Stegostoma tigrinum: one gene and its partners. The protein of the gene in region 2 interacts with the protein of the main gene of each other region in a pairwise test. Links are inferred from orthologs where the notes say so. Each region holds a gene or a part of one and is shown on either strand. Other genes may lie near its edges.

Evidence for each region. The genes of interacting proteins can lie anywhere in the genome.
Region 1: the proteins of kifc3 (region 2) and necab2 interact in binary tests that used the Homo sapiens proteins (3 or more experiments, as listed by UniProt). The two-hybrid records come from large-scale screens. The link is inferred for Stegostoma tigrinum from reciprocal best matches to the Homo sapiens genes KIFC3 and NECAB2.
Region 3: the proteins of kifc3 (region 2) and atf2 interact in binary tests that used the Homo sapiens proteins (3 or more experiments, as listed by UniProt). The two-hybrid records come from large-scale screens. The link is inferred for Stegostoma tigrinum from reciprocal best matches to the Homo sapiens genes KIFC3 and ATF2.

Annotation. Positions count from the first base shown.
Region 1 is NC_081369.1:3,295,993-3,303,486, forward strand, and holds the start of necab2 (N-terminal EF-hand calcium-binding protein 2), read right to left. Parts: upstream 3,058-7,494; 5' UTR 3,036-3,057; coding exon 2,805-3,035; intron 1,802-2,804; coding exon 1,777-1,801; intron 1-1,776. UniProt on the Homo sapiens protein: May act as a signaling scaffold protein that senses intracellular calcium.
Region 2 is NC_081369.1:11,092,512-11,099,695, reverse strand, and holds the start of kifc3 (kinesin-like protein KIFC3), read left to right. Parts: upstream 1-4,086; 5' UTR 4,087-4,193; intron 4,194-4,622; exon of another isoform or gene 4,623-4,755; intron 4,756-7,184. UniProt on the Homo sapiens protein: Minus-end microtubule-dependent motor protein. Involved in apically targeted transport. Required for zonula adherens maintenance.
Region 3 is NC_081360.1:47,008,743-47,015,822, reverse strand, and holds the start of atf2 (cyclic AMP-dependent transcription factor ATF-2), read right to left. Parts: upstream 3,058-7,080; 5' UTR 2,986-3,057; intron 2,921-2,985; exon of another isoform or gene 2,573-2,920; intron 1-2,572. UniProt on the Homo sapiens protein: Transcriptional activator which regulates the transcription of various genes, including those involved in anti-apoptosis, cell growth, and DNA damage response.

The DNA.
Region 1 (7,494 bases), about 7.8 Mb from region 2:
CCCTAACATCAAAGCACTGGTTATTGCTAGTCAGCTGCACTGTCCAGCTGCCTGACACAATACTTCCAGAGTGTGTGGGACTGTACCACAGTGAGAGTTAATGCGTGTGGGACTGTACCACAGTGTGTGTGGGACCCCGTACCCCAGTGAGAGTCAGTGTCTGTGGGATCCTGTTACCCAGTGAGAGTCAGTGTGTGTATGTGGGACCCACTGCCCCAGTGAGAGTCAGTGTGTATGTGGGACCCACTGCCCCAGTGAGAGTCAGTGTGTGTGTGGGACCCCGTTACTCAGTGAGAGTCAGTGTCTGTGGGATCCTATTACCCAGTGAGAGTCAGTGTGTATGTGGGACCCACCGCCCCAGTGAGAGTCTGTGTGTGAGTGTGTGTGTGAGTGTGTGTGTGTGTGTGTGTGTGTGTGTGTGTGTGTGTGTGTGTGTGTGTGTGTGACCCCGTTACCCAGTGAGAGTCAGTGCATGTGTGGGACCCACTGCCCCAGTGAGCGTCAGTTTGTGTGTGGGATCCCATACCTCAGTGAGAGTCCGTGTGTGTGTGGGACCCGCTGCCCCTGCGTTTGGCTTCTCAGAGCAGAAATCAGAATTAATCAACCCTTTTGAGCATAAATTTGTTTTCATTCAAGCTCAGGTTCAATTCTAATATTTAGACTGTTCACAGTATCATCTTAGGTCTTCTAACAGTTGTGTGTAAAACTCTCAATCTCTTTCAGGAGAAGCCCTTATTCATCATTAAAGGGCCAGAAAAGCCATTCAGTCTATCAGCTCAGCTTCAGTTCTGTTCTGGACAGTGCACTTTCAGGGCAATGTGAAGGCATTGGAGAGGTTAAACAAGGAATTTATCAGAATGGTTGCTGGGATGAGGAATTTCACGTATGAAGACTGATTAGAGAAGCTCGGACAGTTCTCCTCAGAGAGGAGAAGGCTGGGAGGAGATCTGGATGATGTTCAAAATCATGGGGCACCCAAACAGTAAAAGGAAAACCTGTTCCTCCTCTTGAAAGGATTGAGGACATGAAGGCCACAGGTTTCAGAGAATTTGTGAGAGAAGCTAAAGTGGTTCGAGGATAATCTCGTCTGTGCAGCAAGTGCTTCAGATCTGCGATGGAATGCCTGAGAGGATGGTAGAGGCTGGTTCAAACAAGGCTTTACAAGGGGAAATCAAATGGTTAATTGGAAAAGGAGCAAAGTGCAAGGTTACAGAAAGAATGACACTAGGTGAGATATTCATTCAGATAGTTGGTGAAGAGACAATGGCTGAAAGGCAAACTCCTGAACAGGATCTGTGTTGAGATTCAGTCTGATCTGTAGCTGATGTCTATTGACCCACTCTGCCTCTGGTTGGATTCACCTGAGAATCTCTGACTGCCTTTAACCCTTGAAGCCCCAATCAAATCCATGTGAATCTTTGCCAACACTCTATATACCTCCTGAGTTGCACTGTTCAGAAGTAAACACAGTACTGCAGATGTGGTCCAACCAAGGCTCTGTTCTATTGGAAACACAATTTGATTCCAAGCTGCTTGAGATAACGGTAAACATTTAAGAGGATAACGCCTCTTCATATTATCCCAACCGAATCTTAATGTATATTTTAATCACCACAACCAGATGCACTTGCAGTCAGTCCCACCAAGGGGATATGAGCTAAGTTTACACACTGTCCTTGCAATTTAACCCTTTCACCCTCTGCATCATTCCTAAAAATACCTCTGAAAATGAGACTAATATAAATTAAACATGCACCAAAATGATTCTGCACTTACCATTTTTATCAGCTCTTCTGAATATCTAGAGACGTGGAGAAAACAGAATTTTAAAAGATCAATTTCTTCGTTCACTCAGCAGAATTTCAAACCGAAATCATTCACTCTGAATGCCCCCAACTTGCCTGCAGTATTTACTGTTACATTACAAGCCAGGCAATAGAGACATAGCCAAAACTATCGAACAGACACACACTCTTCGGAATTTAATGTTTCTATTCATACATCCATCTAACTTTCATATTAAATTCACTCCCTGCCAACAGATTGCCTCTCTTTCTGTCTCACTTTCCTTCCTTCTAATTCTCCCTCTGTTTTTCTGCTCTCTTCTGTCTTTATCCATCTATTTCCCTTTGTCTCCTTCTTCCCTCGCCCCCCCCCCCCCGCTTTCTGCAGTTTCTCTCTCCGTCTCTGTAAGTTGCTCTCATTATCACTCATTGTGTTTCACTCTCTGTTTCTCACTTACTGTTTTGCTCTCCGTTTCTCTCGCCTCTCTGTAGGTCGCTCTATTCCGCTTTTGCTCTCTCCCTGTCAGCTTCACTCTCTCTCAATCCCTCCGTAGCCATTCCGTGTGTGTCTGTCTCACTTATTTTCTTTTGCTTTCCCTCTCTTGTCCCTTACCGTTTCTCTCTCTCCATCGCCTTCTCTCCGTCTCTGTCCCTCGCCCCTCTCCCTGCATGCCCCTCTTTCTCTCTCTGCCTCTCTGTATCCTTGTCTCTAACTCATTCTCTCTGTCTCTGCATGTCCCTCTGCTGGAGTTCTCCATCTCTCTCCCCATCACTTTCTCGGATATTCTGTCTCGCTCCACCGCATGCCCCTCTCAGCTTTCATCCTCGGGCAGCTCCTTCCGACTCGAGCCCAGTCCGTTCCTATTGACTCTATCCATAGACAGTCCCACCTGCCGGGGAAGGATTCCGCAGGGCGGATCTGAATCAGTCCCTTGGTCAATTGAGGATGGGTAACCACTAAAATATGAAAGTTGGTCTCTGACTCCAGGCGGGGAAAGGAAGAGACAGAAAACTACTTACGTCCAGGATAACTGAGATGCCTTTCTTGGTGTCCGCGGCCACCTGCTGCCTGGAAGGTGCCCCTTCAGTTTTCTGAGATTCCCTGTCCCCGAACTTCTTGTCGCTCATTTTGGTGAGGACCCAGCGCAGGACGCCGTCCAGCCCCCTGATACCGCGGTGCACAGGCGGCTGCGTGTCACGGAGTTGCTGCTGGACGCTGTCCCTGCAGTAGCGAGCTGCCTGATCACACATCTTCCTCACATCCTGCAGACCATCCCCTTCCCCTCACACCCCTCCCTGCAACCCCCCCCCCCGCCCTATCCCCTCCCCACGCACCTACCACCCAGCCCCCCAACACCTCCGCCCCCCCCCCGGGTTCCCAGCAGCTTCAGGCCGGCTCCAGCAGCACTCCCCCCGCCCCCCACCCTCAACACACACACACACACACACACACACACAGTCTATCCCCCTCCCCGTCACCGCTCACGCACTCAGCAGCACCGAGAGCTGGAGGCAAACTGTAGGACGTGTAGAGAAAGAGGAACAGGCCGGCAGAGAGGGGGGAGATGCAGAGGGGCGGGAGGAGAGGAAAGATCAGGCCGTGCTCAACACTCACAGACACTGTCCTCCTCCAACTGCTGCCCCGTCAGCTGTACACAGGGCAAATCCAGCCAGGGAGCCTCCTCAGAAATAGCCCCCAGGTTGATACCACTGTATGTATACAAAGAAAAAACTGTGGGTAAACTTTGTCAATGTCTTTAAGCTCGCAATTTTGTGTTTGTGTGTTTCTGACGATGTGTGTGCGCGGGTGTGAATGTGTATACATTGTGTCCAGAGTGTTACAGATGTAACATCTGTGTTGTGAATTTGCGTCAGTATCTGTCTGTGCCTGTGTGTATTTGTGTCTCCAAATGTATGTTTGCATGTGCCTGTGTACCCATTTGTGCATGTGTCTGTGCATGTGCCTGTGCATGCATGCCAATGTGTGCTTGTGTGTCTGTGTGCATCATTGTGTATCCATCTATGCTTGTGTTGTATCTGTGTCTCTGTATCTCTGTGTGTATGTCTGTGTCTATATGCCTTTACATGTGTCTGTCTGTGTGTGCCAGTCTATGTGTTTGTACGTGAGTCTGTCTGTGTCCATCAGTGTATCTATATCCACATCCATGTGTATACATTGAATAGACGCATGCACCCACGTGAGTATGGGTGTGACTGTGTTACCGTGTGTTTGACCGCTGTGTGTAGTGCTGCATGGACATGACTGAATGTAACAGAGTCTGTGTGGGTGCATGACTGTGTCAATGTGACTCTGCCTGTGTAACTGTGTGTGTGACGAGGCTGGGTGTGTGCCCATGTTCATGGCACTGTACATGACATGCATGTGTGTGTGACTGTGTCAGGGTGTGTGACCATGTGCCTGTGTGTCACTGTGTGCATGTGATGCCAGCAGTGTGGATTCAATTCCCATACTGGCTGAGGTTACCTTGAAAGTCTCACCTTCTCAAATTCTCCTGTCACCTGAGGTATGATGATCCTCAGATTAAACCACCACCAGCCATCTCTGTCTCATGAGAGAGCAGCCCTATGGTCTGGTAAGACTATGGTGACTTTTCCTTTATCTGCATCTGTTTGTATGTATCTAGCTGAAAGTGTGTATGAGTAGGCCTATGTTTGTGTCTGTGTGTATGTGTGTGGGTGTGTCTGTCTGTTGATGTGTGTATGTGAGTATATCTGTGTCTATACATCTGGATTTGTATAAGTATATCTTTGGACGTAAGTGTATCTGTGTCTATGTATATCTGTCTCTGTACATGTGTGTGTGTATCTGCATGTGTGTTTGCATGCATTTCATTGTGTTTCTGCATGTATCTGCGAGTATGTCTTTGACCTTTGTGAGTCTGTGCATGTGTCCGCGTGTTTGTATGTGTGACTATGAGTGCAATTGTGTTTCCCTAGTGTGTCTGATTTGTCTGTTTGTATTTGTATGTGTATCTGTGCCTGAGGTTGTGCTTGTCTGTGTCTGTATGTATGTGTATGTGAGTCCATATGTGAGAGTGTGTGTGTCTTGGTACATGTTTATGCGTACCTGTGTGTTTCTGCAGATATGTATGTGTGCGTGTGTCTTTGTGCATATTTATGTGTACCTGTGTGTTTCTATAGATATGTACGTATGTGTATATCGGTATATTTGAATCCATGTATGTATCAGTATGTCTGAGCGTGCTTGCATATCTGAGGCTTTTTATGTTTTCCATATGAATGTGCAAGTGGGTGTGTATTTGTGGATGCATGTGTCTGTATGCAAGTATTTGTGTGTTTGCCTATTCGAATGCATGCATGTGTGTGCATGTGTGCATTCCCGTGTGTGTGTTTGTGTGTGTGTATTTCTAAACGCTGAGATCCTGAGAGGTTGGCCAGCCCACTGGGACCCTGGCAGAATTTAATCTTTCCAAGCCACAGGGATTAATTATTTTCCTGGCCGAGTCTGTGAATGCAGACTGAGGATGGAGCATGGATCTTCCTGTGAGTGTATCTCATTCAGCAGTCAGTCCTCAGAGGAGCTTAGCTGTACCGTAGGTAATGCTGCAATAAGATTGGTACAGAGCAGGAAGCGAAACAGCAGGAAACAGGACAATTGATCACTAACTCTGATGCTATGAGAGTACGATACAAATTTATCACCGGCAGTGACAGAATCGGGGGTGAGGGGGAGGGGGCGTGATATTGGATCAGCCTCCTGTTCTCCATATTACCTGCTATTCAGTGGCATCACAGAGAGTGCAATTAAATATGGGCAGCCACAGATGACTGCAGGTTAATCCTATTCTCCAGTTTGTCACTGCCCAGGACATGTACCTCCCCATTCACATAACTGAAATCAGCCAATATTAACCCCAGCATCCACTTCATTAATCACCAATAATGTCCATAGCACTCCCCACATCACCACAATCCCACAGATTCACCACCCTGTCATGCCCCTCATGTAAGTTTCAGTAAGGTCAAAATTCTATATTCCAATAAGTACAGGCCCAATCTGCTCAATTTCTTCTCATAGGACGGTCCCTTTGTAGCTGGTGTCAGCCCAGTGAACCTTCACTGTGCTTCCTACAATGCCTTGATAGCTTTCTTAGGTAAGGGGCCCAAAATGCTCAACATTATTGCAGCTGTGGCTTGGCCAGTGCCTTGCATAGTTTTAGCAAAACCTCCCTACTTTTATAAGAGAACAAACAAACGAGAACAAAAGAGAGGCACAGCACAGGAACAGGCCCTTCGGCCGTCCAAGCCTGTGCTGATCATCATGCCCCGACTAAACTGAAAAACAAACCTTCTGCCCTTATTCAGTCGTATCCTTCTATTCCCTCCCTATTCATGTAATTATCCAGGTGCCTGTAAAATGTCACCAACCTATCTCCTTGCACAACCTCCTCTGGCACTGCATTCCAGGCTCCTACCACTCTCTGTGTGAAAAACATTCCTCACACATCTCCCCTGAACTTTCCTCTTCTCACCTTGAACCTGTACCCCCTCGTTACTGAAACTTCAACCCTGGGAAAAAGCCTCTGACTATGCACTATGCAGTATTGTGTAGACCTCTATCAGGTCTCCTCTCAGCTGCTGTCTTTCCAGTGAAAACAAACCTAGTCTTTTTAACCTATCCTCATCACCAATGCCCTTGAGACCAGGCAATATCCTGGTGAACCCTCTCTGTACTTTCTCCAAAGCTTCCACATGCTACTGGTAATTTGGCAATCAAAACTGCACACAATACTGCAAATGCAGCCTAACCAGGATTGTAAATGGTTACAACATGCTTCACGAACTCTTGTGCTCCACACCAAGCCATTGAAGGCAAGCATGCCATATGCCTTCTTAATCACCTTGGCTACCTGTGTTGCCTCTTTTAGGGAACTGCAGGCCCAGATCTGTCTGTATTTTAATGTTCCTAGGGGTTCTGCCATTTACAGTATAATTCGCACCTAAATTTGACCCTCCAAAATGAATCTCCTCAGATTTGTCTGGATTAGACTCCATCTATCTTTTCTGTGTCCAAGTCATTAATTTAACTATATCCTGTTGTACCTTTTCACAATCGTTGGCACTATCAGCAACTCCACCAACCTTTGTGTCGTCTACAAACTTACTAATCAGACCACCCACATTTTCATCCAGATCATCTATATACACTACAAACAATAAAGGACCCAATAATGATCTCTGTGGAGCACCATTAGTTACCTGGCTCCATTTTGAAAAACACCCTTCCACCACTACCCTCTGTCTTCTATGACCAAGCCAGTCTTGTATCCATTTGACCAGCCCACTCTGAATCCCATGCAATTTTAGTTTTTTGTACCAATCTGCCATGGGGGACTTTATCAAATGCCTTACAAAAGTCCACATAAACTACATCAACAGCCCTTCCCTCATTCATTATCTTTGTCTTCAAAAAATTCAATTAGATTGGTAAGACATGACCTTCCCTGTACAAAAGCATGCTGCCCGTATCTAACACACACATTTTCTTCCAAATGTGCATATATGCTGTCCCTCAGTACCTTCTCCTGGAGCTTTCCCACCACTGATATCAAGCTCACCAGTCAATAATTTCCTGATTAACCCTGCTTCCCATCTTAAGCAAGGGAATAACACTGGCTAATCTCCAGTCCTCTGAGGCCTCACCTGTGGTCAAACAGCATGTGAAAAT
Region 2 (7,184 bases):
AAGTCCAGCTCTTTTGTGACCACAGGCAACAGTTCCTGCAGGTGTATACCTGCTATCCAGGGAACTGTCAAAGTATTTACATTCCACACAACTCCCAGGTTCCTCAAATGTTCACTTCTCAATATCATCTCCACAGCTGCATTATGTGGTTCCCCCAGAGGTACTTCTAATGACCCTAATATGAAACTCTCAGACTGATGCTAAGCAGGGCTACAATGCCATCCATGCATTCACGAGGGCATTCTTCTAATAGACAATTAATATCTGAAAATGCTGTGATCCAAGATGGACAAGTTAAATCTGGGATACAATCATGTTTGATAGGTCACACTTTCTTTATTTTGGTTAATGTGGTGCACAGTCATTGAAATTTGGTCACATAAAACTGCAGCCTTTCTTCATCAGAAGAACACAAAAGAAACCAAGCAAAAATTAGAACGCAGCTTGAAAGATCTTAAAACACACAGCAAAACCGATTCTCATCCTGTTTCTTAACACACCTGTTATAGAGACTCAAATCCAGAGAAATTATCTCTCTATATCAAATCTTTAAGCTTGACTTAACTCATTCTCCTCAGTCTCTTCCTGTGAATTGTTAAGTAATCTTATATGAATATTCACAGAACTGAGAGCTTAGATTTCTCAGCTTTGAATAATCTGCACATTTATCAAGAAACACTGCTGGTTTACTCGTTTCACAAAATGATTTTTATACAGAGGTAACTGTGCTTTCCATGAACAGTCTTATACTCATTTTGAGGAGAAAAACTATATTTGCTTCAGGTCTCCTTCAAATAGCACTCAAAGCTTTCAATCTCTGAGTTTTCTAAGCTAAAATCAATCCTTGATTATCTTGAACCCAAAACAAGCTAATGGCCTTCAATATTTACCCATCTGTCATAAAAACAATCGATCATTATGCTCCGGGGCATCCTTGCTCTCTTGCACATATTGGATTAGATCTGACTGAGTTATTTTTTAAACCCTTCAGTAATCAACCCCATATGCCACAATTTGAAAACTGAAACTCTGAAAATGACATTAATACAAACATACAAACCTAATACCTTTTATCATAATGTTTTTTTTTCTATTCATTTTGTGGGATGTGGGCATCGCTGGCTTGCCAACGTTTATTGACCATCCCCAGTTGCCCTTGAGAAGGTGGTGGTGAGCTGCCTTCTTGGACTGCTGCAGTCCACCTGCTGTGGGTTGACCCACAATGCTGTTAGGGAGGGAATTCTAGGATTTGGACCCAGTGACACCGAAGGAACGGTGATATATTTCCAAGTCAGGATGGTGAGTGGCTTGGAGGGGAACGTGGAGGTGGTGGTGTTCCCATATATCTGCTGCCCTTGTCCAACTAGATAGAAGTGGTCGTGGATTTGGAAGGTGCTGTCTGAGGATTTTGGTGAATTTCTGTAGTGCATCTTGTAGACGGTACACACTGCTGCTACTGAGCATCAGTGGTGGAGGGAGTGAATGCTTGTGGATATGATGTCAATCAAGTGATCTGCTTTGTCATGGATGGTGTCAAGCTTTTTGAGTCTTGTTGGGGCTACACTCTTCCAGGCAAGTGGGGAGTATTCCATCACATTCCTGACTTGTGTCTTGTAGATGGTGGGCAGGCTTTGAGGAGTCAGGAGGTGAGTTACATGCTGCAGTATTCCCAGCTTTTGGCCTGCTATTGTAGCTAATCTGTCAATGTGGTGAGTCCAGTTGAGTTTCTGATCAATGGTAACCCCCAGGATGTTGATAGTGGGGGATTCAGTGATGGTAACACCATTGAATGTCAAGGGGTGATGGTTAGATTGTCTCTTATTGGTGATGGTCATAGCCTGGCAGTTCTGTGACACAAATGTCACTTGCCACTTGTCAGCCCAAGCCTGGATATTGTCCAGATCTTGTTGCATGTGAACACGGACTGCTTCAGTATAGCTGAGGAGTCACGAATGGTGCTGAACATTATGCAATCATTGGCGAACATCCCCATTTCTGACTTTCTCATGGAGGGAAGGTCATTGATGAAGCAGCTGAAGATGGTTGAGCCTAGGACACTACCTTGAGGAGAGCCTGCAGAGATGTCCTGGAGCTGAGATTATTGACCTCCTACAACCACAACCACAACCATTTCCTATGTGTCAGGTACGACTCCAACTACTGGAACGTTTGCCCGTGATACCCATTAATTCCAGTTTTGCCAGGGCTCCTTGATGCCATACTCAGTCAAATGCAGCCTTGATATCAAGGGCTGTCACTCTCACCTCACCTCTAGAATTCAGCTCTTTTGTCCATGTTGGAACCAAGGCTGTAATGAGATCAGGAGCTGAGTGACCTTAGTGTAACTCAAACTGGCCGTCACTGAGCAGGTTATTTCTGAGCAGGTATTGCTTGTTAGCACTGTTGGTGACAGCTTCCATCAGTTTACCGACAATCGAGCGGAGACTGATGGGGTGGTAATTGGCCGGGTTGGATTTGTCTCTGCCTGGATGATCAGAGGGCGCACTCTGGAATTCGCCAGACAGAACTGTGATTGTTTGCTGTGTACTAAACAACTTAGCTCATTTCTGAGATAGTAAGATCTGCTGATGCTGGAGTCAAAGATAACACAGTGTGGAGCTGGGAGAACACAGCAGGCCACGCAGCATCAGAGGAGCAGGAAAGCTGACGTTTCGGGTCGGGACCCTTCTTCAGAGGAAGATTTCTGAAGAAGGGTCCCAACCTAAAACATCAGTTTTCCTGCTTCTCTGATGCTGCCTGGCCTGCTGTGTTCTCCCAGCTCCACACTGTGTTACCTCTTAGCTCATTTCTGTTGTGAGAATGGAGAAGAGAGAACAATGGGCCATCCAACTGCCTCCTGAGACGAGAAAGAAAAGGAATCTGATCGAGCTTTCGCATGGCCCAATGCTGGTAATGGCTAATTATGGCATACAAGCATTTGTGCCTTCAAGAGAATGCTTGTTTCATACCTCTAAAACATTAAGATACTTTATTTGCATTAATTGTAAGTTAATTTGTTTCCTTGGCATCAATATTTCCTGGTGAGTTACCTGACCAGAGCATCAGCACAGAATTTGCAGGATTACAGGGGAATTGAGCTTTTACGAGTCGCCCAAGCCTCGATTTTCTCATTGACACCATTGTCAGTAGTGCTCTTTTTAAAGTCAGTCACTCCTAAGTTGGTACTGATTGTGGAACTGGAAATGGGGGAACAGAAGTAAATTGCTAATGGCATACAGTTACAACTTCAGGTTTAAAATCTATGGATTCTACAATGATTGAGGTAGTAGCTGGGTCTGGCTGAACTAAGGTTGGGTAGATGCTATGCATCTTGGTTTCATTGAAAATCCAGCAAGCAGGGAGACAGTGTTTACAATGATATACATAAATGTTGGGAAGAACAAAAGAAGAAAGTGCCAGTTTATTTACCCTCTCCAGGCTTTGGGCTATGTCCACTGTGCTTAGTCCTGTTCCAGTAAATGTGTCTTTCTCTGAACTTCAGCATGTGGCTTACAGTTTATCCTTATTCCAGCCCCATAACTTCTGCAGCCGTACCCTGCTTTGTTTATCCAATATTCTTCTCCCTGCCCTAATGCAATACATTATTTTCCAAGCCTTTGCGTTGGCCTTGTGCCTGGATTGTTGCCCTTCCAGTTGCAGAATTAGATGGATTCCTGTTAAACAAAGGAGTAACAAATTATTGGGGATAGGGGGGAATGTGGAGTAATCAGATTTGCCAAACTTTGGGGCGAGCTCGAAGCGCAGAATGGCCTAGTCCTGCTCCTCGTTTGTATGTTTGCACGCATCAGTGTTTACTATTTTAGTACTTTTTCTAATCTCCGCTTGTATTCTTCCTGGGCCAACATTATTACCTTTGAATTTCCCCAATACCTACATCATTAATTTTCCCTTTGTCCTATTACTATGTGTTATGACTGTCCCTATCTTTTCCATGTTTAATTTCGAATTCCTGAAACTTTTCCCGTTTTATCAGCGACCCGCCTACTCGCTGAATGCGTCGCCATTGATTGGTCGGTGCCGGGCAGGAGCCTGAGCCTGATTGGTTGAGTCTAGCTGACAGATTCTGCGGCAGTCCTGTTCGGCTCGGCTCGGCTCTGGGACCCGGGGAGCAGCGGTGGCCGTTGCGGGAGGGTCGCTTCCAGCCTGAGCTAGGCTCGGGCGCGGTGTGCTTGGTGAGTATAATGCTAATTTCCTGAACAGGGAGAAGTGCATTATCATCCTCACATCGGATAAGGGGCGGTGCAGGCTACAAGACACCTATTTGATGGAATGTGGTCGGTAGGGATCTACCCCTGTCTGCAGCGTCGTTGGGGGGGGGGCGTTATACCTAGGCTGAGCTTCAGCGGCAGCCGGGGTGGACTGGGCGTTTTGGGTCACAGCGGGGGTGCCTCTCCTGTCTGATAGGAGACCAGAGGGAGAGTGCTGTTTGTTTTTAAAGCCCTGCAGTGGTCTCCAGGTGCCAAACATGAAAACACGGCAGCGGAGAAAGCAGCTGCGTTAGCCAAAGACGGGGGTGGGTGGGAGAAAATCATTTGTCAACACAGATTGAATCAGGAGCACCTGACCAGAGAGAGCGAGAGAGAGAGCCAGGTCATTCTCACCAGAAGGACGTTGTTGCTTTCAGCAGCACGACGTTATAACACACAAGTCACCGGTTTCCCCCTCTTGCATTCTCTCAGGGCGAGAGCCTTAACCATCGGCCTGGCGACTCCGTTCAGCCGGCTGGTTCCGTTCTGTCCGAGGTGCGGATTTAACCCATGAGTAGCCCAGCTGCGAGCTAACCCTGCATTGCAGCTCTGTGGACTAACACCAGCTGGTAGGCATTAGTCTGAATGAATTCTGTTTCTGCAATTTTAGTTTATTAAGCTTGCGTTTTGATGTTTTTTTAATTACTAAGTGAAGGTATTTTCCATGGCTCGAATTCTTTCTGTAGATTGTAAGTAAGGTTAGGAGATGGTGTTTTCGCTCAGGCTACTGTACAGGCTGTTTCCCTGGCAACAGCATCCTCCTAGTGTCATTATGTGCACCTGTACAATTCCACTGCAATGCACAATGTGACCCTTCCAGCATTCCAATGGGCCTCCTTGAATTTGAGCCTGGAATGTGGGGTCTAGTGCATGTACTATTAACTAGCCCTTGAATTTGCTACTTTTCTTTGTCTGTGGTGGAAAATCATGGCAGATCCCTCTCCTGCATTTCTGGCATATCAAAGGTAATTGATCAAATGGTAGTAAATAGTATTGAGGTACAGATCAGCTATGATCTTATTCAAATGAGAAATAGGCAGAATGGGCTTGATATTTATATATTTATGTGAATTAAACTTTTTTGGTCATCTTATTGCTGCTGCATGAAGATATTTCTTGTCACAATTAAACCTGTTACACAGAGTAATGAGTTTAAAGGTTTTGATCAGTTTATTATTTGGTTTTGGGGTTGGCTAGATTGAGCAGAAAAAGTGCTGTGCCTGCTCTTGACCTTGTCATGTTATGTTGGTTAGTGTGGGAGGTACTGTTTCACCTCTGGGGCGATGGTATCAGTATCCTGGGACTGTGGGATGAGACGGTGTTTGCTAAGGAAGCCTTTCAGGTGTAGCAGGTATCTGGGAGTCTTCCTGGGGCAACCAGGTATTCAGCAACCACGGGGTTACGTACAAACCAACTCCACACCACCTCCCTTCTAGCATTGATTGTTACCTTTGTACTGAGGGAAATATGCAGTGGGGACAAATGGGACAATGTTGGTCAATTTCTATTCAACACTCCCTTTGCCAAAACAGTTGTGTTAGCTAGTTTCAGAGATAACCGGGTACATCCAAAATCATCATGCCCCCTAACCTGACTGCATTTAAATACGTGTAGCTGTGTTCATTGCTCAGCTGAATTGCCCTTTTATTTCTCCTCAACTTCAGTTGTGCCTAGTTCCACAAAGTTCTTCCTCTCTTCATCTTCACTGTATTGAAACTAAAAACCATCATGCACAGCTAGTGCCTCCTTTTACCAGGAGTTCAAAATGGTGAAGCCTTTACCCTGTGTATGTTGTGCTGAGAAACCCACTCATCTCTGACTATGTAACTGGGTGGAGGCATTTCATCTCTCAGAAATGAGGGTACCATCCTGGCCAAAGTTTGGGTTTGGGTGATTTCCTGATTTCTTGTCTCATGGGTCAAATTCTTTTTTCCTCCTTTTAAACAGTTAAAATGCTGCTGACGCTTGTGATGTAATAACATTCTGTGGTTTGGCAAAGGGAAGAGTTCCATGCGGTGATAGATCAAATCTAAGTTATAGTGCTCACTTTACAGCCCTGAGTTGCTGGAATATGTTTTAGCACATGTGGAAATATGACATCCCAGTGGTACATGTGCTACAGTTGATCCTAGAGCAGTCTCCTGACCTGGTTGACAACACCTGTGTAGTTTATAACTACATTCAATAAAGCTTCACTCTCTGTCCTCTGTTTTACCCTATTCAGCCTGATCATCTCCAACTGAGACTGGAAAAGCCCCAAATTTCTTCAGCCTGTTCTTGTTGGTATTGCTTCACTGGGGTAATGCTGCAGGCACCTCGGGCACAGAGTGATTGATTTATAAAGCAGGAATTATGAGTTGTTCTCAGGTGCAGTTGGTTGGCAGTAGCAACACTGAAACGTTTTGACTCATTAAAGGGTAACACATTTGCTGTTGGTGTGCATGCTACAAAATGTCAGTAAGGAGCTGGAGTCCGTGGTATTTATACCATAAGCATTCATTGCAGAGAGAGAGGCAGACATTTGGTTTACGTATGGCTTGAAGATGCTATGCTGGGTAAGATGACAAAGCAGAATAACTGCAGTATTGTTGATGTTACTTCCCAGGCTTGTGTTCAAACCTGCCAAGCAGGGTCTAGGCCCAAAACGTCGGCTTTCTTGCTCCTCTGCTGCTTGGCCTGCTGTGTTCATCCAGCTCTACACCTTGTCACTTCCGATTCTCCAGCATCTGCAGTTCCCACTACCTCTGAAACAGGGAGCAATCTGGTTGCCAGTACAGTGATTGTTTAAATTGACTGAACGGAAGTTGCTGCGTTATGTTCAAAATCCTGCACTGGCCACTTGTACCATGTGCTGCGTGCACTTGATTCTGGTTTCTCGGGATTGCTTGCTGGAATTTCTGCAGCACTGTGGCAATT
Region 3 (7,080 bases), on a different chromosome or scaffold from region 2:
CGCAGAAGCAAAAATTAACAGGAACACTGCTTGTGGCTGTGTAACAATTTACACCAAGTGCAACATAAAATTACATAGATAATTTGATATTTTATAACTTTGAAACTAAATATCTTCACTTCATAGAGCGAAGAGCTTCTGTCTTTGTCTGACATTGAATCATAGAATCCCCACAGCGTGGAAGCAGGTCATTTGGTATATCAAGTCCACACCAACATCCAGGCCGCATTCCCCCTTCCCCATAACCCTACATTTCCCATGACTCATCCACCTAGCCTGCACATCCCTTGATGTTATGGGCAATTTAGCATGGCCAATCAGCTCAAGCTACACAAGGAAACCAACACACCGGGAAGAAGCCTATGCAGCCTTGGGGAGAACGTGCAAACTCCACCATCCTAAAAAGACAGCTATGAGTGGTAGAAACCAGGAAAGTAACGAAGACCAAAGAGAACTTGACATGCATATTCCTGAAGGTAGTACTGCAGATAAGTAAGTCAAATTAGATATTTGCTTTTATTAGCCAAGGCACAGAGTACAAGAGCAGTGAGGTTATACTCAAATTGTATAACATGAGGATTAAGCCACAATTGACGCACTGTATGATGTCTGATCAACACATTAGAGGAAGGGTGTTGTTCTGCTTGAGAGGATGCAGGGGATACTTAGCAGGATGGTGCAAGAGTGTATATGAGGAAAGACTGGACAAGTTGGAATTATTTTCCTTCCAGCAGTTAAGGTTGAGAAGTGACCTGATAGAGGTGTTCAAGATCACGAGGGACATTGATAGGAAGGTATTTCTTTCCATTAGTACAGAGAACAAAAACGAGGGGGCATAGATTTAAGGTAAGAGGTTGACGGCTAAGTTGACGAGAAAATTTCCTGGAACGAACTGCCTGAGAGGGTGGTCAGATCAAAAACTCTAACATTTAAGCAGTATTTAGATATTCATTTGCACTGTCAGAACCTCTAGGGCCATGGACAAATATGGGATTAGTGTAGTCAGATCTTTGTTGACTGGCACATACAAAATGGACCAAATGGCCCCCTCCTGTGCTATTACATCAGATTCTAAAACAAACCTCTGCATTTGTTAACTGCTAAGGTTACAGCCTGAATTGGGGAGCTCTTGTGATGTAGTGATAGTGTTCTTACCTCTGAGCCAGAAGGATTGGATTCAACTCCCAACTGCTCCAGAGTGTGTCATAACTTGTCTAAATGGGTTGATTACAAGTATCTACAGCCCAAGTTAAATCAATATATATCAAGTGTATGCTTACTGGGTGCATTTAACAATTGTGTATTCAAAAGTGTAATCATTTTTAAAGTCATGAAATAATCCTTTTCTGAATCATTGGTTATTGCTCAGACAACACATAACCTTTGCTGAAATCTGGCACCATGTACTTCTAAACTTATTTGGAAGCCCCATTAAAAATACATTTACAGTTCTCAATTACCATCTGTGCCGTAGTTGATTCATCTTCCTTAGACTCCTTTTCCCTTAAAGCAAGAAATCCCCAGGGTCCTCTTATTTGCCTCATCTGGTTCCATCTTCAGATCAATGACTTACACTGATCATTCACCCCCACTCATGCTTTTCATGATTCTATTCTACGTTCAATGTATGCCAGTCCTTCAAAAGTCCAACAGATAAATCATTTTGCTATGAAGCAGCATCACTGAACCAATTTATTTTTTCAGTTTTTTAAAATACATACCATTTCCTCAATCTCTGGCAAGTATATATTGTACTGCTACCATGTTTTTGATTTTTCATCCATTGTCCTTGTCTGTCAACGGTTAACATTGGACTGCACAGTTCTTGTGACTTCAAACAGCAATCCCACATCATTTAATGTAGGAACCTACACTGTCATGTTTCAAACATTTATTACTTTCCCCTCAATGACACAATAAAATCAAGACTTCAATTCTGCTGTCAATTTAGACAGTTCCTTCCGCCACCTTTCTAATATTGCTGAAAACAACAAGAGGCCCGTTCACTCTCAAGCGTGTTTCTTTTTTGTGCTATGATTCCACCCTAGTGTTGCTTCAAACTTTGCTTCCTGTTTCCTAAGTATCAAACACATGCCCTACAAAGTATTTTTCCTTCTGATGAATGCTTGTTTTCAAAACTGTGGAATTCTTTTTTTAATTCCTTCGACAAGATTTTGAAAACTAAGCTTGGCGTCACTTAATTTTGATTTACCTTAGTGGTGTCGATAGGTAGTATGGACTTTTGGCCTACACCCGAGTTTCCCATTAACAAATATACTTGCCTATCGGATTTTAAAACTGTTTATTACTGAAGGAAACAGAAGCAGTATTTATACTTTCCACGGCTGGGAAGTAGCCATTATTGACTCTTAATTAATTCCTTCAGAACCTGAAACCAATTATAAGATTAAACGCGATTCGTTTGGTTTGAGGTGCAGGATTTCATACGGTACATCATCAATAACAAGATGCTACAAATTTTGGTTCAACTTGCTGTGTGAATCGCATTAACGTTCCCAATGTACGATTTGACTCGGTTACAATACAGCAATACCAATGACAAGGATACTACCGGTCTGCTTTCGAGGAAACGAGACACTGGTTGGATTTTCTACCGTTCGTCTCATACAGATGTGTCCACGTCTAGAAGAGCACCACGATTCAAGACCAGAAAGACCCCGCCCTTTACTCAACACAAGCGGTTACTCGGGAATTTGTGTGGCTCCAGAGAAGAGGAGTAACCTGCACTGTGAGGAAACCTCCTCCAACTGGAAGGAAGCCTCAGGAATCAGAGCCCCAGCGGCCGGGGAGCGTCGCCATATTAACAAATAACGTTCGTGAACAGACCCACCCCGGAGCGGCTCGCCGCTCACACACCCCAGCCCCATGATCAGAGCTCATTGTGAAAATAAACGCCGCTCCAAACGTCATGACAAGAAGCCCGGAGCCGTCTAGATTACTGATTATCGTTGTTTACAAACTTACCACAAGGGCTGATTCTTGCTCACGGACAAGCGAGCTGACACCTCGCGAGAGTTCAACCCAGGAACCCTCGGCCCTACGTCACCTGGTCACATGACACATGCAGGGTGGTGGTGTCAGGTGAAGGGTCATCCATTAGTACGCAAGAAGCTGTTGTGGGTTAGTCGATGGTCAATGGAAGGACTCTCGGGGATTAGTTATTGGTAACATGAGAAGAACGAACCACTATGTGCCATTTCATACTGACCGGTGGGAACCAATTTTGGTCAATTCATGGTAAATAGTGTGGTATAAGGAACAACTGTGATCACAGTACACAGCACCTACCTGCCTTTCACTACCAGAACTGTTTTAATGGTCTACCAGCACCTACGCTACTCTGACAGACAATTTGTCATGTGTAGTCATCCTAACTGGAAATTCTGACATATCCAAATGGAACCATAGAAAAGTAGTCTGTCAACATGGCAAGAAAAAATGAGCTGTGTTCCACCAGCAGACATCAAAGATCATAGAATCTTTATAGTGTGGAAATAGGCACTTCGGCCCAACCAACCCTCACAGCATCCCACCCAGACCCATCTCTCTATAACCCACCTAATCTGCACATCCCTGAACACTATGGGCAATTTAGCTGAGCCAATTCACCTAGCTTGCACATCTTTGTTATGTGGGAGGAAACCAAAGCACCCAGAGGAACCCCACGTAGACACGGGGAGTCCACACAGACAGTCACTTGAGGGTGGAATCAAACCTGGGTTCCTGGTGTTTTGAGGCAGTAGTGCTAACCACTGAGCCACCGTGCTACCCAAATTAGCAAACAATACGCTGTTTGGCACAGGTGGGGAATATGGAACAATAGGTGAGAATGCAAGTTGTGAGGATGACACAAAGTTTACAGAAAGATATAGACAGATTAAGTGAGTGGGCAAAGACTTGGCAGATGGTATACAATGTGGGGCAAATGTGAGATTATGCACTTTGGTGCAAAGAATAGAAGAGATGAAATTTATTTAAATAGAGACTGCAGAAAGCAGCAAAATCAAGGGGGTCCCTGTGCCTGAATCACAAGTTCAATCTTGATAAGTAATAGGAAAGTTAAATGGACTGTTGGTCTTTGTTTCAAAAGGAACAGAGTGTAAAAACAGGAAAGTCTTGCTAAAACTATAAAAGGCACTAGTCATGCCATAAACAAAAACAGAAATTGCTGGAAAAACTCAGTTGTCTGGCAGCATCTGTGGACAGTCACAGTAGTACAGCATGGAAACGGCCCTTTGGTCAGAACCGGTCCATGCTGACCTTGGTGCCCAGTTCACTAGTTTCAATTGCCTGCATTTGGCCAATATCCTTATAAACCCTTCCCATCTATGAAAATATCCAAATAATTTTTGAATGTTGCTATTGTGCCCGTCTCAACCGCTTTCTCTGGCAGCCCATTCCATATACACACCACTCTGGGTGAAGAAGTTGCTCCTCAGGTCCTTCTTAAATCTATCCCCTCTTACCTTAAACCTATGCCATCTAGTTTTCAATTCCCCATCCCTGGGAAAATATGTATTCATCCTATCTATGCCCTTCATAGGACAGTACAGCACAGAACAGGCCCTTCAGCCCACAATGTTGTGCCGACCATTGATCCTCATGTATGCACCCTCAAATTTCTGTGACCATTTGCATGTCCAGCAGTCTCTTAAATGACCCCAATGACCTTACTTCCACAACTGCTGCTGGCAACGCATTCCATGCTCTCACAACTCTCTCTGTGTAAAGAACCCGCCTCTGACATCCCCTCTATACTTTCCTCCAACCAGCTTAAAACTATGACCCCTCGTGCTAGCCATTTCTGCCCTGGGAAATAGTCTCTGGCTATCAACTCTGTCTATGCCTCTCATTATCTTGTATACCTCAATTAGGTCCCCTCTCCTCCTCCTTTTCTCCAATGAAAAGAGACCGAGCTCAGTCAACCTCTCTTCATAAGATAAGCCCTTCAGTCCAGGCAGCATCCTGGTAAACCTCCTCTGAACCCTCTCCAAAGCATCCACATCTTTCCTATAATACGGCGACCAGAACTGGATGCAGTATTCCAAGTGCGGTCTAACCAAAGTTTTGTACAGCTGCAACAAGATCTCACGACTCTTAAACTCAATCCCCCTGTTAATGAAAGCCAAAACACTATATGCTTTCTTAACAACCCTGTCCACTTGGGTGGCCATTTTAAGGGACCTATGTATCTGCACATTCATGATTTTATATACCTCATTCTCCTATGTTCGAAGGAATAAAGTCCCATCTTGGCCAAGCTCTCCCTATATTCAGGCCTACTAGTTCTGGCAACATCCTCGTAAATATTCTTTGCACACTTTCCAGTTTAACTATGTCTTTCCTCTAACAGGGTGACCAAAATACTCCATGTGTGGCCTCACCAATGAGTTATACAACTGTAACATAATGTCCCAACTCTGATACTCAATGCCTTGACTGACGAAGATAAGCATGCTGAATGCCTTCTTCACCATCCTGTCCACCTGTTTTGCTGTTTTGAACAAACTATGTACTAGTACTCCTCAGTCCCTCTGTTCCACAACACTCATCAGGACCTTACCATTTACGGTATAAGTCCTACTGTGGTTTGACTTTCCAAAGTGCGAAACCTCAAATTTGCCTGTATTGAATTGAACTCCATTTGATCAAGATCCATCTGTAATTTTCGATAACCTTCGATACCAATAATACATCCCAATTTTGAATCATCTGCAAACTTACTAATTATACCTTGTACATTCACATTCAGATCTTCCCTACTTGCTTTCCTTATTTCCTTAGCATTCATGATTCTCTGCTCAGTAAACACTGAGGAAAAATATTCATTAACAATCTTACCCATTTCCTATGGCTCTACATGTAAATCACCGTGCTGATCTTTAAAGGGAGCTACTCTCTCCCCAGCCACCCTTTCACTTTTAATAAAGCTATAGAACCTCTTGGGATCATCTTCAGTCTTATCTGCCAGATCCCTCTCATACCCCTTTGCTCTTCTGATTTCTGTCTTGTGTGCTCCTACATCTAGGGATCCACTTGAGGCAATAGTTTAAATCCAACGTGTGCCTTCTTCATTTTCCTGACCAGAGCTTCACTATCCTTCGTCAGCCAGGAAAACCTAAACCTGCCAGCTTTTCCCTTCACCCTAACAGGGATACACTGCCCCGGGCTCTTGATATCACACTTTTAAAAGCCTCCTATTTGCCAGTTGTTCCTTTTCCTTCAAACAGACTCACCCAATCGACCTCTGCTCGATCCTGCCCAATGGTCCCAAAATTAGCTTTGCTCTGGTTTAACACCTTAACCTGTGGATTGTCCTATCTTTACTTTAACTATGTTAAAACTATGAGAGTTATGCTCACTGGACCCAACGTGCTCTCCGACTGACACTTCAGTCATTTGTCCAACCTTGTTTCCTAACAGGAGGCCCAGTGTTGCAACCTCCCAAGTTGGGTCCTCTATGTATTGATTTCGGAAACTTGGACACATTTAACAAATTACACTGTGGATGGCTAAGTCAATACAGGGGAAATTAAAACCTCCAACCAATACTAGTCTAATATTCCTACAGGTATCTGCAATCTCTCTCCGTATCTGCTCCTCTAGTACCCACTGGCTATTTGCAGGTCTATAATACAGCCCCAACAGAGTGACCATCCCCTTCTTGTTTCTAAGTTCTAACCATATGGTCTCATTTGATGACCACCTAAGAATATCCTCTGTAAGCACTGTTGTGATCAAGTAATCATACTTTAGACCATAAGACATAGGAGCAGAAGAATGCTGTTTGGCCCGTAGAGTCTGCTCTGTCATTCAATGAAATCACGACTGATCTGATAATCCTCAACTCCACTTTCCTGCCTTATCCCCATAACCTTCGATTCCCTTACTGATTGAATATCTTCTATCCCAGCTTTGAATATTCTTAAGAATCCATTATTCATAATAATTCTTAATAATTTCAGGTCCAGTGTTCACACTTCAGAACACTAGTCAGACCATGCCTAGAATACTGAATAGTTTAGGTCCCCTTACTGAGTGAAAGATATATGGCATTAG